Stegostoma tigrinum: one gene and its partner. The protein of the gene in region 1 interacts with the protein of each later gene in a pairwise test. Links are inferred from orthologs where the notes say so. Each region holds a gene or a part of one and is shown in the gene's direction. Other genes may lie near its edges.

Region 1 (10,105 bases):
TGACTCGTAACTGCCCTCTGGGCAACTAAGGGATGGGCAATAAGTGCTAGCCTAGCCAGCAACACCTCAGCCCGTGAATGAATAATGAAAAAATCTTAATAAACACATGAACATAAGGTGAACAGAGGGATAGGTATCACAAATGAGCAATAAGTAACGGGTCTAAATAAGATGTAGGAATTGGTGCAGTGTTAGTAGCCAGGTGACCTGTTCCTGTGCTGTATTGCATTTGTATTGTATTTTTCTTTTTAGATCAAGGTCTTTCATTGAAACTCAGCTGATTTTATTGATGACACAATAATTTCAAGTTTCCTTTTTAACCCCAAATGTTGGGCATTCACTTTAAACACTTCAATTGATTGATTAACTGATTTATTGTTAGTGAAGTGAAGCGAAGCACAACAAAAAGCTTTGTTTCAGTGGTTATAGGCAGATCATAGTAAGCAAGGATGTACAGATCAAAAAGACTTAGACAGAGGCATACAGGCTACGTTGCATTGGGCGTGCGCTAGGTGAGATCAGCATTGTTTGAGGCTAGAGTCTCCATTCTTCAGTCTGATAATGGCTGGAAGAAGCTGTTCTTGAACTTGCTGTGCATGTGTTCAGGCTTCTGTTTCTTCTGCCTGATGGAAGAAGTTGTAGGAGATCATTACCAGGGTGCAATGAGTTTTTGATGATGCTGGCCACCTTTCTGCAACAGCAGGCCATATAAATACAATGCATGGATAGAAAGTTGGTTTCCACGATGGTCTGGGCTGTGCACACCACCCTCTGTAGTTTCTTACACATCCTGAGAAGCGCAGTTGCTATACCAGGGCGTTACACACCCGGACAGTATGCTTTCAGTTGTGCGTCTGTAGACGTTGGTGAGGGACCTTTTTATAGATATGCCAAATTTCCTTAGCAGCCTGAGAAAGAGAGGTGTTGTTGTGCCTTCTTAACCATTGCATCTATGTGGCAAGACCAGAACAGATTGTCCATCTTGTGACTTCGAGGAACTTGATGCTCTCCACCTTTTCAACCTCCGTTCCATTGATGTAGATGGGGGCATGTTCTCCTGCTTTCTCTTTCTGAACTCCATGATCGATTCTTTAGTTTTGTTGACCTTGAGAAAGAGGTTGTTTTCATTGTGCCATGTCACCAAGCCCCCTCTTTCTGTATTTTGACTCATTGTTGTTAGATATCTGTATTTCTACAGTGGTGACATCAGCAAACTTGTAGGGGCATTCGTTTAGAATTTGGCAACACAGTCGTAGGTGTACAAGGAGTATGGAACGGGACTGAGCATACATCCCTTGGTGGGGGGAGGTATGCGGGGGATCCAGTGTTGAGTGTTATTGTGGAGGAGGTGCAGTTACCTATCCTCACTGATTGTGGCCTACGGGTCAGGAAGCTGAGGATCCAGTTGCAGAGGGCGGAGCCGTGATTAAGGTCACACAGTTTTGTGATCAGTCCGGAGGGGATAATGACGTTGAAGGTAGAGCAGTCATCGGTGAGCAGGAGTCTGATGTAGGTGTCTTTGTCCTGATGTTCCAGGAATGAGTACAGGGCTAAGGGTATGGCATCTTCTGTGAATCTGTTATGTCAGTAGGAAAATTGTAGGGGATCGAGTCAGGTGGGAGACTGGAGTTGATATGGGCCATGGCCAGCTTCTCGAAGCAATTCATTGGTCCGAGCCACTGGGCAGTAGTCCTTAAGGCATGCTGCATGTGTTTTCGTGGGCACGGAGATGATGGCGATCTTCTTGAAGCAGGTGGGGACTTTGTAGGAGGGAGACATTTGAAGACGTCAGTGAATACCTCCACCAGCTGGTCTGCGTAGGATTCGAGTGCTCTGCTGGGGACATTATCCGGGCCCATCGCTTTCTTTGGGTTGCCTCCCAGGAAGACTGATATGATGCGTGCAACAGTGACCAAGGGAAAGATGATTTATCTGGAACTGTTGGGGCAGGTGTCACTGTGCCACCGATATTTCATTCAAACTAAGCATAGAAAGCATTGAGAACATCAGGGAGGGTTATAGAGATAGTAGGAACTGCTGATGCTGGAGAAACTGAGACAACAGGTCAAAGAGGCAGGGATGAGGCTGATAGGTAGGAGGTGTGGGTGGGGGTTGAGGTGGAAGAAGCAGATAGGCAAGAGAAAAGATGGACAGGTCAGGGAGGCGGGAGGAGATGGGCTGGTTTTGGGATGAGGTCGGGTGTGCTCAGCTTCATTTTTAATTGTGTAATGTTGGTTAGAGCATGCCATAGACAGTGCAGGACTGTTTGGAAAGTCTGGGCCTCTACCTTGGTCTGGCATTGCCTCTTGGCGTCCCTGATGGCTTTGCGGAAGTCGTATCTGGATTTCCTGTGTTGTTGGTCTGGGTCACCCAACTTGAATGCTGCACATTTAGTCTTCAGCAAGGAGTTGATTCTCCGGTTCATCCAAGATTTATGGTTGGGAACACTCGGATTGACTTCTTTAGTCCACAGTCCTCCAGGTATTTGCTGATGAAGTCAGTGATGGTGGTGGCAAACTCACCTCAGTTTTCTACTGAGAACTTGAACACAATCCAGTCCACTGATTCCAAGCAGTCCCGGAGACAGTCTTCCACAGCTTCAGACCATCATTGTACTTCCTTTCATGAAGCTCCTTCCCGTTTCAGCTTCTGATTATAAGCTGGGAGGAACGCAATGCTGTAATCTGATTTTCTGAAGTGTGGGCAGGGGGTTTGGAGCAGTAGGCATTTTGAAGGTTGTGTAAGCAGTGATCCAGGATGTTTGGTCCCCTGGTGCAGCAAGAGATGTGCTGGAGGTACTTTGGCAGCACCCTCTTGAGGTTGACTTGGTTGAAGTCACTGGCCGCACTGAATAAGGCCTTGGGGACTTTTGTCCCTAGTATCTTTTGTGGCAGTGTAAATTATGTCAAGGGCATTCTTCACATCGACATGGGTCAGTGTGTCGATTGCTTATTCTTACGGTATTCTGCTTTTATTTCTATCTTCAATTTCTTCGATAACTTTCTCAATTTAGCCTTAGTCAAAGATTTTGAGTATTCCATTGTTACAGTTTGTACTTCCAGATAATAGCACTTGCAACAGTCAAGCTATTTTGAATGTCCTACCTATATCCAAAGATTTCATGTTCTTTTATTTTGTGCTTGGTATCTTCACAAACTCGTATGTTTAAGATACACAGATCGCTCTTAAATTCCATGAATTTGGATCCTGCAAAGGCCCCCACCGTAAGATCCCAGCTGATTGGAATACCGGACAAGTGAAATTACCGAGTGAGATCTGGCTTAATCAGCCAAATTTTGTCCTTCTTTTTCTTTACTATGGAAATCAGTAATTGAACATATTTTCTTAAGTATCTTTTGAACAACTTGATGTTTTATTATACAAAAGAAAAAGATGAACCATGTTATGCTGTATAAGAACTATTTGAAATGGTCTCATTACAAATATCAAAAAGAAAGATTCAACCCTTTTCATCAACAACCTTACAGACACCCAGACCTCAGTGAAGGATCTCCCCACTCCACTTTACAGTCGTATTTGCTGAATAGTCTGTTTCTTTTCAGTAAATTTCTGCATTCACTCAATTATGTTTTTTTTTCAGTTAATGTAATCTTGAGGCCCTTAAATTGTTACCTCAACTCTTATTGCTTAAAATTTGTTCCATAAACTCATGTCTTTAACAGCTTGAGCCTTTCTCCTTAACAACTGGGACTTCTGCCCATTCTTGCTCTGAATATTTTGTTAACCCTGCTGTTGCAGACCGTTTACCTTTGCATGAACACTGCCTGACTTCTTCTAGATTGTTGTAACTTTCTGTTTTACTGAGCTCCCGTCACAGGCAACAATGGTTTTTCTTTTGTCTCTTCTATCTTTTTATGTGAGTGCTCTGAACTGATCACCTCCAGCTGTCCAAGGCTGTAACCATCACTTAAAACAAAAATATAAACAAAGACAAAATTTCCTGGCACTAAAACTCTCAAAGTGAAACTAAAACCATGTTTTCACTCATCTAAACACATACAATACAGAAATACAAATCAATCTCAAAGCTATCTGTTATTCTTCTGGGCACTTTCTTGTTTTTCTGCGTCAGTTTTTAATCCTGTCTTTTGTATGTTTAGGTGGAGCTGGAGAATGATGACTTTGTACACTTTTCACTGCACTTGATTACACATCAATAAAATCTAAATCAAACAATATTACTATACTGTAAGCCACCTTCACAATTGTATGACATGGCTTTTGCATGCCACTCGTCAGCCTAAAACTTAATGTTGTCTGGGTCTGGCTTAATAAAGTCACAGATATCTTCAATATTTGATGAGCTAGAAATGTTGCTGAACATGTGCAATCATCTGTGAATGTCAACACTTCTGACCTTAAGATTGAAGGAATGTCATTTACATATGATGTAAACATGGTTGGGTATAGGAGATGACCCTGGGGAACTCATGCATTGATATTTGAGGACTGAGCTGATTGCTGTCCAACATCCACAGTCCCTTTCCTTTGTACTAAGTATGATTAGAATCCCTACAGTGTGGAAACAGGCCCTTCGGCCCAACAAGTCACACTGCCCCTTGAAGCATCCCACCCAGACCCATCCCCCATAACCCACACACCCCTGAACACTACATGCAATTTAGCATGGCCAATCCACTCTAGCCTGCACATCTTTGGACTGTGGGAGGAAACTGAAGCACCCAGAGGAAACCCGCGCAGACACGGGGAGAATGTGCAAACTCCACACAGACGGTTGCCCAAGGCTGGAAATGAACCTGGGTCCCTGGTGCTGTGAGGCTGCAGTGTTAACCACTGAGCCACCGTACTGCCCCCAAATCCCACTGTTTGCAGTTTTGTGAGTGCTCCTTGATGTCATACCCAGTCAAAAGCAGTTTTCATATAAAAAGTAGGCAGCCTCACCTCCTCTCAGAATTTCAGCCCTTTTGTCCATGTTCAGACTGAGGATGCTATGAGGTCACGAGTTGAGTGGGCCTGGCAGAACCTGAGTTGAGTGTCAGTGAGTAGGTCATGCTGTGTCAGTGCCATTTCACAGCACAGTTAATGATCCCTTTCAGCACTTGGCTGATGATTCAGAGTGGACTGATGGGGCAATGATTGGCTGTGTTGATTTGTCCTGAATTGTGTGGGTAGAGCATACCTGGGTTATTTTCCACATTGCTGGGTAGATGCCAGTGATGTAGCTGTGCTGAGCATTGCTTGGCTAGGGGTATTGTTACTTCTGAAGCAGAAATAATTGAAATTTATACAGTGTCAGAGGACGTGGATATATGTGATGCTTGCAGTTATTAAACTGCTGAGCCCCCACTTTCCCAGACTATTTATAGAATGACAGCTATCCCACGGTTGATGTATTACACTGTTTGGCTGGCTCGCTGGTAATCTATCCTCATTATGTTGGTGGACAGCATCAGGGCCTGTACCTGGGATTAAATGACTACTTCGAGAAAATTAAAGTTGAGGGGGGAAAAAAAACTATCTGAAACAACCTGTGTTTATGCCGATTGCTGCTGCTGTTAGACATTTAGGCCACCAGTGCTAACTATGGTATCAACTGCGAGCCGCAAGCTGTCCTTCTCACACGTTAGAGGACACACACGGGCTATTGATCCACGCACGGTGTTACTTGATTTCCCGTTCCCAATGTTTCGCTGCCTGAGAAACGGCTCCCTCTGTCTCTCCTTATCCTTAACATCACTGTGATTTTCCTCTTTCGAAATGAAGTCGGGGATGAATCCCGCGTGTGGCGGCTTCAGTGATTTGTGAACGGATTTAAATCTAATTCCTTTGCTTCACTGACGTCAGGAGCCTGTGACTGGACCGGGTTTTGCGGGTGTTTTGGCGGGGGGGGGGGGAGGAATCTGTCCTGTCGTCCACAGTGCTGCTGATTGTGCCAGAGCCGCGTTTTGCAGTCTCCGCTGATCTGCTGTGGGCTAAGGACGAGCCCGCGGGGAAAGGGGCGGCGAGAGTAAAGTTCACCGCCCCGTCTCGCTGGATATTGTTGCATTCTGTGCGGTCAACTCAGGCCAAAGAGCTTCAGCTCACTTCGAGTTTCTTTGTTACTCGCACCGATATAACTATGAATAGACCGCAACGTTGGCTCGGCGTTTGTGTTAAGCTGTCGAGCCAGCATTGATCATGTAAGTTGCACATACCGGTTCGATTAAAGTCGTTTGCAGTTTTTTTTAAAATGAGTTCACTACTGTATTCTGTGTTAAAGTCAGCTGGATAGCTTGTTCTCACAAAGCCGCACGCCTCTACTTGCACGGCTGATGCTAGTCTCCTTTAACTGAGTGCCCCTGTGTGTAACTTGTTGTTTAGGTCGGTTCGCATTGTGGCTCTGGGCAATGAGAGAGCAGGATTTGAGGACAGCCTGCAGCAGCCGGATCTGATCACCACCTATTTCGGCAGACATGCCATTATCCGGCACGTTGAAGAGAGACGCTTGCTCAGCTTTGCCACCCACATCACATTTCCTGCCTTTGTCGAGTACCAAGCTTATGTCTTCGGCAGAGTCCGAGTGCTGATTCACGACTGTCCCAGTTGGGTAAGGAGATAAAAAGTCACAATGGGACTTACAAGATGAGGTTCGCCGCTTAAGGGCACCGGAGATGTACGAGCGCTTTGTAATGTTGGTGCAGCCCACCCCGTACTTGTCCCTCATGTCAGTGGTGCGCCGTTTTTGCTTCGGGTAATCCGGTAGACCCTCTGATGTGCTAGCGTGAAGTTTGCAATTTCAAACCGTGCGATTTTATCAGAAGCATGTTATGTGGAACAGTGATTTCCCCCATTTGTCTTAAAATTGAGACATTTATTCGCTTCATTTGTCCGTGTTACATATTGTCTATTTGCACATAGGTCTAATGTTCAACACACGACCAAAACATCTCGAGTCATACTTTAACCCTGAGACAAATAATAATGACCAATTTTGAGCTTTCAGGAAAAAGGGAAATAATTGCTTATTGTTCTGCTGACTCCTGAGGGTCTTACCACAACTTATGAAAGTCTACAGAATATTTCCACAGTAGTTATTCTTTAATTGACCTCAGGAAGTGCCAATTTAGACTGCAATCCTTGTGATAGTAAGCAAGGTTATCAAAAATTACAGAGGGATTTTTGTCAAAAGTGGAAGTGGGTTGAGGATTGGCAACTGTAATTCAATACAGATAAGTGTGAGGTGTCGCACTTTGGAACTTTTGCCCCACCCCTATAACGACCAGAATAGGTGTTAAAGGCAGTACATGAATGGAATGCTACTTTTGGAACTGGGCTTAAGGTTGTAAAAGCCAGTGTGGGAACTGAACCCTGCTGTTGGTATTACTCACCAGCTAATTGAGCCAACCAACAGTGAAGGGGTATACCATTGGGAAATGAAATCCGTCATAAATGTGAGGATAGGTTTCATAACCGGGCTTAAGGCTCCAAATTACCTGAATAATAGCGGTAGAGATCAGTTACCAATATAATAATACTTTGTCAGAATATACACCTGCAGTTTAATTGGATTTCAATTCCTGACACTTATTTTAAAGAAAAATCTTTCAGAAATTAGCTCTGAGAGACTAAAAATGCTGCTAAGGTATTTTCAAGTTAACTAGAATAATTTTAAAATTAACAAAAAATGGCCTGAATTATGCAGTTATAAAAGGCCAATGAAATAATATAGCCCTTCCAAGCACATAACTGCCCGTATATTGAAATGGGGGAATAGTGCTTTCCCTGTTTCAATGCAGACATTGCTACTAAATATCCAGATCACTTGTCTTGGGAGTGACGAGAAGTAAGTCAATCAGAATGTTCAGTACTGTTTTGGGAATTGCTACAGGCACCTATTAACAGTTTGTTTTAATGAAGTGTGAGTTTCATGTAACAAACTGCAGGACCATTTCAATGACAGTCATTGTGTGAGTATGTTATTTTGTTAGCAACAGCGTAGCTGGGACTAGCAATATTCAAGCCTACCCTCCCATCTCACCCCTACCCCTAAAAGGATGAATATAGGTGTCAAGAGCCGTACATGAATAGAATGCTACTTTTGTAATGTACGATTAAGACTCGGCAGCATGTCATGCAGGTAGACATAAGCTCCAGTAAGTGCGCACTCAGGGAGACGAACAGCGCAGAATTCAGATGACAAGACCTTCGCTGGCAACAGCTGGAGTATGACACAAGCAAAATGGGATAAACTCTACCTCACTGGAAGCAACACAAATAACTGATTAATATTTAAAAGAATATAAATGAAATTTGAGGTGGCTGATAGTTGTATATGACATATTGTCAAGAACTGAGCATGCGATGTTATGTGAGCATTGTTATATGGTGTCCTATACAGGACACAAAAATTAACATGAATAAAAGGAGATAGTAGGAACTGAGAGCTGGAGACAGAGATAACACAGTATGGAGCTGGAGGAACACAGCAGGCCAGGCAGCATCAAAGAAACAGGAAAGCTGATGTTTTGGGTCAGGACCCTTCTTCAGAAATGGGAGAGGGGGCATGGAACTCTGAAATAAATAGAGACAGGGGCTGGGGCTGGGGAAGGTAGGTGGTATGGTGATAGGTGAGTGCAGGTAGGCAGCGGTGGGGATTGGTCAGTGAGGCGGGAGGAGTGGATAGTTGGGAGAGAAGCCAGGTAGGCCGGGGTGGGGAGAATGGGTGGTTGGTCATGGGATGAGGTCAGGGGTGGGGAGATTTTGAAACTAGTAAAGTCCACATTGAGACCATTATGTTGTAGAGTTCCAAGGTGGAATATGAGATGCTGCTCCTCTAGTTTCTGGATGGTGTCATTGTGACACTGGAGGAGGCCCAGGATGGACACGTTGTCCAGGGAGTGGGAGGGGGAGTTGAAGTGGTTGGCAACTGGAAGGTGTCATTTGTCACAAACAGAGTGCAGCTGCTTCACAAAGCGGTCTCCAAGCCTCCACTTGGTCTCACCAACATAGAGGAGGCCACGTCGGGAGCAGCGGATGGAGTAGACCACATTACCATTCTTGTAAACCTCTTTGCATGCTCTCCAAAACATTCACATCCTTCCCACAGCGCAACACCCAGACTGTACAAAATACTGAGGTCTAGTAAGCGCCTTGAATTCATTCAGTATCACCTCCTTGCTGTTGTGCTCTGTGCCCATATTGGTAAAGCCCAGGATACCGTTACTTTACTAACTGCTCTTCCATCTGTCCAGCTGGCACCAATGGTCTGTGCACATATACACCTCTAAAAGTCTTTGCTTCTGCAACCCTGAAAAATTGTAACCTCCATTTTATGTTGTCTGTCCATGTAATGCAAAATATATTACCTCAGTCTTTGACATTTGAACTGCATCTGCCGCTTACTTACCCATTCCGAATACTGGTCCTTTTTCCATTGTGGCATTCCACACTTTCCTCCTCATTGTATACAATGCCATGTGACTTTGTATCATTTACAAACTTGCCTCCTGTTTAGCTAGATCTAAATCATTAATATGTACCAGGAAAAGCAAGGCAGCCAATTCCAACCTCTAAGGAACTTCACAAATCTTCCTCCAGCCCAAAATATCCATTCATTATTACTCTTTGTTTCCTATTGTTCCACTAATTTTGCACCCACTTTGCTATGGTCTCTGTTGTTCCATGAGTTATAACTGTTCTAAATTGTTCTGACATGTTTCACCAGTCTGATGTGTGACACTGTATTGGATACCTGTACAGGACATCAACAATATTATCCTCATTGACCCTTTCTGTTGCTTCTTCAAAAAAAATCCAGCAAGTTAGTAGCAATCTATGCTGACTCTTCCTAACTAACCTAGCACTTGCCATGTGACTACTAACTATATGCCAAATAATTATTTCCAGAAGATTTCCCCTACAGAAGTTAAACTAACTGGTCACTGATTGCTGGATTATTTTGAAAATCTTTTTTTGAACCAGAATGTAATATTCACAATTCTGCACTGGCACGCCCCAAGTCCAGGGAAGATTGTGGCCAGAAGCCCCTAAATTTCCACTCTTTCTTCCTTCAGTATCTTTAGATGCATTACATTGGCTTCAGTAATAAAAACAGAAATTGATGGGAATACTCAGTAGGTTTAGC
Region 2 (10,320 bases), on another chromosome or scaffold:
TACTTAGATCCTGTTTATTTGAAGCTGTCTGATGGGCTTCTTTACAGATAAACTAATGAAGACAACACAGAGTAATACATCAATACTGCCCGTGACTAAAGTGCTACCACGCAGAGTACTGCAGCCTCTGGTCATGTGCTTATCTGCATCTTGAGATTCTTAACGAGATAATAAACCTCCTCTCTTTTTCCCAAAGATATGAATGTGACAAATGAAATCACATAAACATTGGCTCACAGCAAAATTACTTATATGGAGACAATGATTATAAAATTTATGAGTGGAGAAGTCTAATAGTCCATTTATTATCTTACAACCTTCCAGATTTCGCTAAGGCATCACCTTCCCCTTCAATGCTGGAAGTGTTGATTTCACCTTTGGCTGTAGATGTGCCTCCAGTGTGTTGATTGTTGTCCTTGTGTTCTATCACACTGGAGTTATCTGACCGTATTCTTGCCTATTCGGCCCGAACAATTAGTGTGTTGTACATTTCCTTTAACTGACTTCTTTTCCACTTCAGCGTTACTCCATTAGGTCTCATGTCTTTGTAAGGCCTAGGGTCACTGCGTAGTTTGGATACCAGGGTAACAAGATTCCAGTCATGGAATGTGACTCCGACCTTTTGTCCAATATGCATTTGAGTTAGATCTGCATCCATATGCCAGTCGTGCATCATCTTCGTCCTCTCGTTGTTGAGAAGTGTGTCCTGCTTCTTCGAGAATTTAGATAGGTGGCAGTTTGGCAACATTGTTCTTAGTACCTTCCAAATATGATCTTTACGGATAATGATAATTCCGTATCTAGAAGTGTAAATCTGAGGTATGACATGGTACCAGGAAAACCTTGTTTAATTGATCTACACTTCAGAATGTAAATAAAAGGTGCCAGATATTCACTTGGAAAATCCACTTGATCTGCGGTAATGTGGACTGGATGTTCGTGCCCTTTTTGGCACACATTTCCCTGAAAGTCCTGCCATGTAATGCAATTTCTTCAGAAATTATTTCCGGTTAATTTGAAATATCATTCGTTGTCCTTCTCATGATATCAACTTACAAAGCAATCTTTTGATTTTTGTAGCCATTGTGGGTATGACATCAATTCAGAGTGATGTATTCTAAAGTTGATTCTTATATGTAGTTGATCTTTTTTCTAAATGTGTACATGGGATGCGGAGATCATTGGCTGGACCAACATTTATAATCCATCCTTAATTGCCTTACAGAAATTGGTGATGAGCTGCCTTCTTGAATCTGTGCAGCCTTGGGGTGTAGGTACACCATGGTGCTGCTAATAAGGGATTTCCAGACTTCTGAATCAGAAAGAATGAAGCCTTGGTGATATAGTTCCAACTGCCCGCTGAAATAGCCTAGCAAGCCATTCCATTTTATCAATCACTAGAAAGTCTCAAAAAAGGCACGAAACGAGATGCACCACCCAGCATCAACTGAGGTACCGGAAAGAATTATGGCAAACACAACCCTGTGAACCCTGCCAACACCCTCCTTACTAACACCTAGCATCTTGTGCCAAAATTGGGTGTGATGTCATACAGATTAGTTGAGAAACAGCAAGTCACAGTAATAATCATGGAATTATGCCTTGCAAACAATGTCCTAGAGGCCATCCCTGGCTATGTCCTATGCCACCAGCAACATTGACCCAGCAGAGGTGGCGACACTGTGATACACAATTGGAAAGGGGTTGTCTTGGGAATCCTCAAACCTGACTCTGGACCCCATTAGGTCTCATGCCATGAGGTCAAACATGGATAAGGAAACCTCCTGCTGATTAACATATACTGCTCACCCCCATTCCCTGTTGCTGAATCAATACTCCTCCGTGTTGAACATCAGGTGGAGAAGCACTAAAGATGCAAAGGGTGCAGAATATATTCTGGGGAGGTGTCTTCAATGTTCACAACCACAGTAGCTCAGCAGCACCACCACTGGCCAATCTGGCTGAATCCTAAAGCATATAGCTGCTAGACTGGGTGTGCAGTAGGTGGTGAAGGAGCCAAACCCGGGTCCCCAGAACATTATCTGGGTCTCTGGATTAACAGTGGAAAAACATGCCTTACTTCATTCTCACCAATTTTTTTTTGCTGCAGCTGCATCTGTTCATGAGACTATTGGTAACAGTGACCACAACACAGTTCTTGTGGAGACAAAACACTGCCTTCACAATGAGACTACCCTCCATTGTGTTATGTGGAACTAAAAGGTGAAGTCACGATGCTTCTAACCAGACCACCTGGCTGCGCTCTTATCAGAAAGAGACACTTGGTGGGAGCTTAACTTGAGGGTCACTGCACTTCAGGCAAGCAGAGGAGAATCCTTCATGTTAATTTGAGCAGCACAGGAATTGCACCCAGACTACTTAGCATCACCTCTGGTCACAAGCCAACAACCCAGCCAAATGAGCTAAATAGCGCTATCAACAGGCTAAATGGAAAAGATTTCAAACAGATATAGCAAATCAAAACTGGGCATCAATGAAACACTGACTCATCAGCAGCAGCAGAATTGCATTCCAACACAATCTACAACTATAGAACCTGACATATTGTCCACTCTACCATTTCAATCAAGCCAGGGGATTAACCTTGGTTGAATGAAGGGTGCAGGAGGGCATGCCAGGGGCAGCACCATCTATACCTAAAAATTGAGGTGTTAATCTGATAAATATATAAATTAAGACAATTTGTAGACCAACCAGCATTAACAACAAGTGATGGACATGGCTAAGTGATTCCACAACCAGTAGATTAGATCTAAGCTTTGCAGTCCTGTCACATTCAGTTATGAACAGTGTTGGACAAGCAACTCACTGGAGAGGGAGGTTCCACAAATATCTCCATTCACAAAAATAGGGTAGATCAGGACATTAGTGCAAAATACAATGCTGAACCATTTGCAACAATCTTCAGCCAAAAATGCTGAGTGCATGATCCATTATAACCTCCTTCAGAATTTATCAGCATCACTGATGCCAATTCGATTCACTCCATGTGATTTATTTATTTGTTTGTGGGACATGGGAAATGCCCCTAGTTGCTCTTGAAAAGATGGTATGGAGTTGCCTTCTTGAACCACTGCAGTCAACGTTCTGTAGGTTGAACCACAAAGCCCTTTGAGAGGAATTTCCAGGATTTTGACCTAGCATCAGTGAAGGAATGACAATACATTTCCAAAGTCAGGATGGTCAGTGACTTGGAGAAGAATTTGCAAGTGATGGTGCTCCCTTGAATCTGCTGCCCTTGTCCTTCTAGATAGAAGCGGTTATGGCTTTGGAAGGTGCTGTCTAAGGATCTTGGGTGAATCAAGAAACAGCTGGAGGCACCAGAAACTACAAAGGCTATGGGGCCCAATAGCAATCCTGCAATACTTATAGGATACTGCATTCAACTCTCGTGTAAACTTTTGGCAAAGATCTGTATCTCGGTTTATGAATGAGGTTGTTGACTTGTTTGCTGAGCAGGCCTGTTTCTATTCAGACGTCTCGTCACCATGCTGGGTGACATCATCAGTGCAGCCTCCGATGAAACAATGTTATTTTACTCCACTTGGAATTGATACTGCCCAGCCCATTATGGCAAGTACTGTCATTTCCAGTTTTGATCTGTATGGCTTTGTATGTGGGGTCCAATTCTATATGTCTGTTGATGAATTATGGGTGGAGAACCATGCCTCTCGGAATTCCTGTGCATGTCCACTGGGACAAAGTAACCATAGTAGCCCAAGCCAAACATAGACATGCATGAGATTTCCTAGAGGCATTGTTCTCCACCTACACTTCAATCAACAAACATATAGACAATGTGGAAAATGTCCAGGTTTGGTCTGTAAATAGAACTAGGAGAAATCCAACTAATTACTGCCTCTTCTGTCGCTTCTTGATTATCAGTAAAGTGATGGGAACTGTTTGATGAGGTGGGTGGGTGAGTGGGATGCCCTGGACTGTTTGCGCTCTTTCTGCTGCTAAACGTCCATGTGCTCCATTCAGTGACAAGTCTTTGGGTCTTCACGGATTCTTCTCCAGATTGAGTGTTCTAAGGGAAGTGATTCCCATGTGTCAGTGAGGATGTTGTTTTGCTTTCAGGGTGCCCTTATAGCATTTGCTCTGCCCTCTTAATGATTGCTTACCATTGTGGAGCTCAGAGTAGAGGACTTGTTTATGGAGTCTTGTCGGGCATTCAGACAAGACACTCATCATGGGCCAGCATTTATTGCTGGTCATGAGTACCCCTTGATATGGTGGCTGTGAGTTGCCTTCTTGAAACACTTCAGTCCATGTGCTGTGGGTAATCCCACAATGCTTTTCATGAGGGAACTTCAGGATTTTGACCCAGTAACAGTGTTGGAATGGCAAAATATTTCCAAGCCAGGATGGTGAGTTACTTGGAGAGAAACTTGCACATGGTGGTGCTCCTATGTACCTGCTGCCCTTGGTCCTTATAGGTGGAAATGGTCGTGGGTTTGGAAGGTGCTAACAAGCTTTGGTGAATTTTTGCAGTGCATCTTGTAGATGGTACTCGCTGCTTCTATCAAGCATCAGGGTTGTGGGGAGTGGACATATGTAGATGCCAAGTATGCAGGCTGCTTTGTCCTAGATGGAGCCAAGCTTCTTGAGTGATGTTGGAGCTGCACTCATCCAGGCAAGTCGGGAGTATTCCATCACACTCCTGCCTTGTGCCTTGTAGATGGTGAGCAGGCTTTGTGGAATCAGGAAGTGAGTTACTTGCTGCAGGATGCCAAGCCTGTTACCTGGTCTTGTGGCAACTGTGTTTTTATGGCAAGTCCATTTAAATGTCTCATCAGTGGAAAACCCCAGGATGTTGATAGTGAGGGATTCAGTGATAGTGATGTCACTGAATGTTAAGGGAAATTGTTTTAGTTAATCTCTTATTGCAGATGGTCATTGCCTGACATTTGAGAGGCATGAATGTAACTTGCCACTTTTCAGCCCAAGCCTCGATATGGTCTGCTTCAGTATCAAAGGCAATGAGCACGGTACTGAACATTGTATAATCATCAGCACTTCTGTTCCTTTAATGGCGAACAATGAAGGAGGCGAAGATAGTTGGGTCTAAGATAGTGACACATTGTCACAGAGTGCTGTGGAGGCCAAGTCATTGAGACTTAAGACGTCACTTAAGACAGCGATAGGTTCTTGATCAGTAAGAGGATCAAAAGTTACGGGAGGAAGGCAGGAGAATAGAGTCGAAAGACTTGACAGGCATAACATTTCAAAAGAAAAATAGAATGATGCTTGGTTTGAGTTTTTTTAAATAATGTCTTTTGATCCTTTTTGTTTTTCAATTGCAGCCCAATTGCCTTTTAAGGAATTTTTGTACTGTATACTCATGTTTTCAGCAATCTCTATACCTTCACTACAATTCTTAGTGTGCAATTTCCAAATTGAGAATTTTTTCTCAAGCTTTTGAGTTGGAAGAAGCAGATTCTGCTCCTATATTTTATGGTCATAGGACACTATTCTCAGGACATCCTGTAAAGACGTCCTGGAGATAAGGTGACACAGCATGGAGCTGATGGAACATAGAAGGCCAGGCAGCATCAGAGGAGGCGGAATGCTGATATTTTGGGTTGGGACCAAAGAAGGGGCCTGATCCGAAACATCAGCTTTCCTGTTCCTCTGATGTGCCTGGCCTGCTGTGTTCCTCCAGCTCCACGCTGTGTTATCTAGCATTGGCAGTTTTTACTATATGTAGAAATTAAGTAACTACCTCCAATGCCTTAACCATTTTCCTTTAACTCCAGTATTACTCCACCTGAGCAGAGGGATCTGGTTTGCGATTGGATAAGCGAGACTGGTCAGAATGGATGGAAGTGGCCAATCTGTGATTGGATGGGGGCGACTGGTCAGTGATTGGCTCACAGTTACTTGTCAGTAATTGGACGGAAGGATCTAGTTAGTGATTGGATGGAGGTGACTGGTCAGGGAATGAATGGAGGTGATGATCAGTCATTGGACATGGTTGGTTTAAGATCTATGTTCCGGAATTGGATGAAAGTTTTGACCTTTGATTATGGGGCGACCACTTGTTGAAGATGTTTGGCCTCTGATTGGCAGAATAAATATTCGGTAGTGTCCAATCAGTTTTCACCTTTATTTGTGGTCCGCTCTCATCGCTGCTAATCAGCTATTTGCTTACTGCATTTCTTAGCAACGTATTAAACAATAAGTCTGCCCGGGGAGAAGCTCAGGATACTGCCCAGCCCCGACAGCCCTCTAACCCGCTTAGCGCTAGAGGGGAGCTGAGAAGCAAAGCTAGAGGCATCGGTCAGCGTGGGAGAGGATAGTGGAGCCTGGTCACTGATCAGTGAGGGATAGGATCCAGGGCAGCGGTCAGTTTGGGGCAGAATCCCAGGCAGTGGTCAGTGTGGGACAGTTACCCGGGCAGTGACCAGTTTGTGACAAGATCCAGGGCAGTAGCTAGTGAGGGACAGGATCCAGGGCAGTGGTCCGTGTGGAAGAAGATCCCAGCCAGTGGCCAGTGTGAGACAGGATCCTAGACCCTGTGGCAGAGTTATTAAGGGGTCTGAGCAAGGTGTTTGTAATCACAATGAGCTCCCCACTCTCATCTCTAGGAAAATTACAGAAAGTATCAGTACTCCTGCCAGAGCTGCAGGATCGTCGGTAAGTGAGACCTTGCTCCTTGCTCTATTCTGTTCTATGCTGTAAATAAACAAATAAAAGTGACATTTCTGTAGCAAGGTGAGAGGGCAGATGTGAACACAACCTGCCTCAAACTCCAACCTCCCCCACCCCCCACCTAAGCCACACACCATCCTGACTTGGGGTAGTTTGGGCATTGGAATGGATGGAGATTGTGATGTTGTGTAGTACCACTAATTGTTAGACTAAGGCTAATGGTTTAGGATATGGATTAATATCGCATTATGGTGGTTGGTGAAATTTCGTTTCTATTAATAAATCTGTAATGTAAAAGCTAGTTTTAGTGATGATAACCATGACAGTGATCAAACAGCCATTTTGTTTCCTCATGCCCTTGAGGGAAACAAATCTGTTGACTTTACCCAGTCTGGACTACGTGCGACTCCAACAGAAATGTGGTTTATCCTATATTAATTTCCCTTTGAAGTAGCAAAGCAAGGTACATAGTTCAAGGAAATAGGCAATAATTGCTGACCAGGTCAATATTCCACAAAAGAAAAATTCAGTAATGCTACTTAGTACTGTAGTTGCAATGCCCAAACAGTTGACATGACACTGTTTAGCTTGCTGCACATTGTTTAAAATTTAAAGCAAGATTTTGTCACAAATTACCAGTAGGTCTGCTAGTCTCCACAGTTCCTGCACAAAACTTCTGAACTTCTGTTGTCCCAAAAAGGAAAAGAAAAATTCTGATATTCCAATTATTTTGCGCTTTCTGACATATAGCCAATCTCCAACTAGAGTACAATCCTATTGGTGAGGAAATAACTTATGGTTGGGGTTTGGTGCTGCTACCAATCATCCATTGTATGCTGAGTGTATAATTATCTGTGATAGAGGGAAGACTTTTGATGGGTCTTAAGAAGAATCCATTTGACGTGTTAACAAGAGGCAGCTTACTACATCATAGCAATAGGTATAGGTTACTTTTGGCTAGTTTGACATAACTCTTTCAGGACCCAGAAATGATGCTCTGTTTCAACTAGGACCTCATGCTAGACCAAAGTGTGTGTAATATCATCAGATTGGGTGGATCTCAATGTAGCTTCAGCATTAACTGGCATAGACATAGTGGGCTGAAGGGCCTGTTTCATTGTTGTGTGACCCTATGACTCTATAATGCTTTAAAGAACTTTATACAAGACCATATAAATGCAATTTATCTGTTTGCCTGTACGATCTTATGCATTAATATCAAGAAAGATTCTACTGGATGTTCTGTGCTCTGAAGAAGTTTATGTAACCATAGCCTCAATCTTCTCAATGGGCATTACATCGTGTGTATAAAGAATAGGTAGCACATAGGTTCATACTAAAATGCTCTAGATCCAGAACTTGTTTGCGCCACATGTAGTCCAGGTGCACTACATTGGTCCTGTCTTTCTCCCTCATCTATTTGGAAAAAAATGCCTATATTATCATTTCACCTTGGGCAAAACTGCATAAACGTGTGTCCTAAGAATATATTCTTTAACCTGCAACCATAGAGCTTTGAGTATGATGGCATCCTGAAGTTCAGTGGAAAGGAACTTTAGTTTGAAGTTAAGGAGGATGACCTCTTTGACCTGTCCATCTTCCCTCCCACCTACCCACCCGTCCCTCCCAGCTGACCAACCCACTTCCCAACTCCCTACCTATGCTCACCTGTACTGGCTCCATCCCCACCTCCTTAATCTGTCCATTTTATCCCCACCTATCTGCTCCTCTATCCACCTTCCATCATCGCCTCCTCTTCTCTATTTATTTCAGAGTCCCCTTCCCCTCCTCTATTTCTGAATAAGGATCCAGACCCAAAACGTCAGCTTTCCTGCTCCTCTGATGCCGCCTGGCCTGCTGTGTTCATCCAGCTCTACAACTTGTTATTTCAGACTCGAGCATCAGCAGTTCCTACTATCTCTGAATTGGTTATAATGTATAAAACAAATGTGGGTGGATGCTTTTGGAGGTTCTTGTCTTTCAGACAAAATGTTAAATCAAGATCCCATAAAATTGCCCATGATCTTTGAATATCATAAATCACTTAATAGTCAATGATATACTTCTGAAATGGAACACTTGTGTAAAGAAAAAACCCATAGATTGACTTGGTAATTTGATAGAGTAACCTGTTTTAGTGATATTGGTTGACGGATGAATTTTGGGTATGACCCCAGGGAGAACTCCCCAGCTCTTCCAATTGTTTGGCAGGTTCTTTAATGTTTCATCTGAAAAATGGCATCTCTGACAGTGCTGAACGTCGTCAGCATTGCAATGGATTGTCAGCCAAGATTATGTGCTCAGTTCTCTGGAGGTTGCCTAAACCCATGAGCTCCTGAATCAGAAATGAGGATGCTCTACAGGATCAAGCCTATGATACTATGATGTTGTGCCTCAGGAGTTGCTTGCCTGTAGCAAAGAAGGGCTGATAGTCTAAAACAGGGACTGATTCACCATCAGGCTGTGTTTTCACAATGAGCATCCTTGCACAATAGCCAAAGATAATTTTCAATTCTCTTTCTCCAGTCCTACAATATTTATCTATTCCAGTATCCAAATTCCTTTACTGCAACATTTTTCACAACTGCCTGCACAGCAGAGTAGTATTTTATAATCCATTAGCAGCATTTTCAGTTTTCACCATTATTTCCATTTTTGAGACTTAATTGTATGTTAACTGCCCACCGCCAATCCAAACGTTGTCCCTTTCCACTCTCAGTGAAGAGTTGTGGTGATAAGATTAGTGGCTCCTCTCTCACTCTTCCCCTCTGCGCCACTCCCCTCTGCCATTTCACCTTTGAGTCACAGTTTAGACAATGAAGTTCAATTGTTGTGTGGTTGCATCACATCTGAGCTGAGCTGACCTCACCTCCCACATATGACATTTGTTCATTAGTAGCAGTCAGGGAAGGTTATCCAGCTGATTGTTACGGTCATAGACTGGAGTTTAAACCACAGAGTCATAACGTTTAATGCTTTATGCCAGGACTACCCAGAGTGGGAGTTGGGACTCCATGGACGTTGCAGGCAAAAAGATTTGGGCCATGACTGCTGTGCTATGCCTCCAACAGACTGAGCCTTCCCCTGAACCCCTCAAGATCACAGGTCTCCTTCCCTTTCATACCCTCTCCCCTCACATTTCTTGTTTAAGAGCCACAGTAATATCCAAGCATCAAAATAGGGGTCACTGGGAAATAGAGAGAAATAGTGGGTCACAGTGAGAAGTGTTGCTTTCTGATATCCTGTTTGATAAAGAATGCTCTGCATTTATTTTGCTCCTTACACAGTCTTGATACATTTGAAAGTGCTGATAAACCAGCTAAATACTTTTGAAATCACAGTCACCATTGTAATGTAGAAACCAGCGTAGTCAATTTTGTATGTAGTAAATTCCTGTCAGAATCAAGAAATTTTTAATATTGATAGTGTGTGAAGGATAGATATTAGCCAGGACACTGTAGGTAATCTCCCCCACTTAACACAAAATAAAGGTTTGAGATTTTCTTCGTCACCTGAGATGACAGATAGGATCTCTCAATAGAAAAATGGTATTTTTTGATTTGCAGTACTCCCTTCTGACTGCACTGACTATGCTAAACTGAATTGTTGCACAGGATTTTAAATCCTCAGTCTCCTGAATTGGAG

Evidence for each region.
Region 2: the proteins of rhobtb3 (region 1) and ubxn11 interact in binary tests that used the Homo sapiens proteins (3 or more experiments, as listed by UniProt). The two-hybrid records come from large-scale screens. The link is inferred for Stegostoma tigrinum from reciprocal best matches to the Homo sapiens genes RHOBTB3 and UBXN11.

The regions. Positions count from the first base shown.
Region 1 is NC_081356.1:88,473,995-88,484,099, reverse strand, and holds the start of rhobtb3 (rho-related BTB domain-containing protein 3), read left to right. Parts: upstream 1-5,894; 5' UTR 5,895-6,159; coding exon 6,160-6,161; intron 6,162-6,342; coding exon 6,343-6,568; intron 6,569-10,105. UniProt on the Homo sapiens protein: Rab9-regulated ATPase required for endosome to Golgi transport. Involved in transport vesicle docking at the Golgi complex, possibly by participating in release M6PRBP1/TIP47 from vesicles to permit their efficient docking and fusion at the Golgi.
Region 2 is NC_081377.1:31,744,084-31,754,403, forward strand, and holds the start of ubxn11 (UBX domain-containing protein 11), read left to right. Parts: upstream 1-6,218; 5' UTR 6,219-6,586; coding exon 6,587-6,660; intron 6,661-10,320. UniProt on the Homo sapiens protein: May be involved in the reorganization of actin cytoskeleton mediated by RND1, RND2 and RND3. Promotes RHOA activation mediated by GNA12 and GNA13.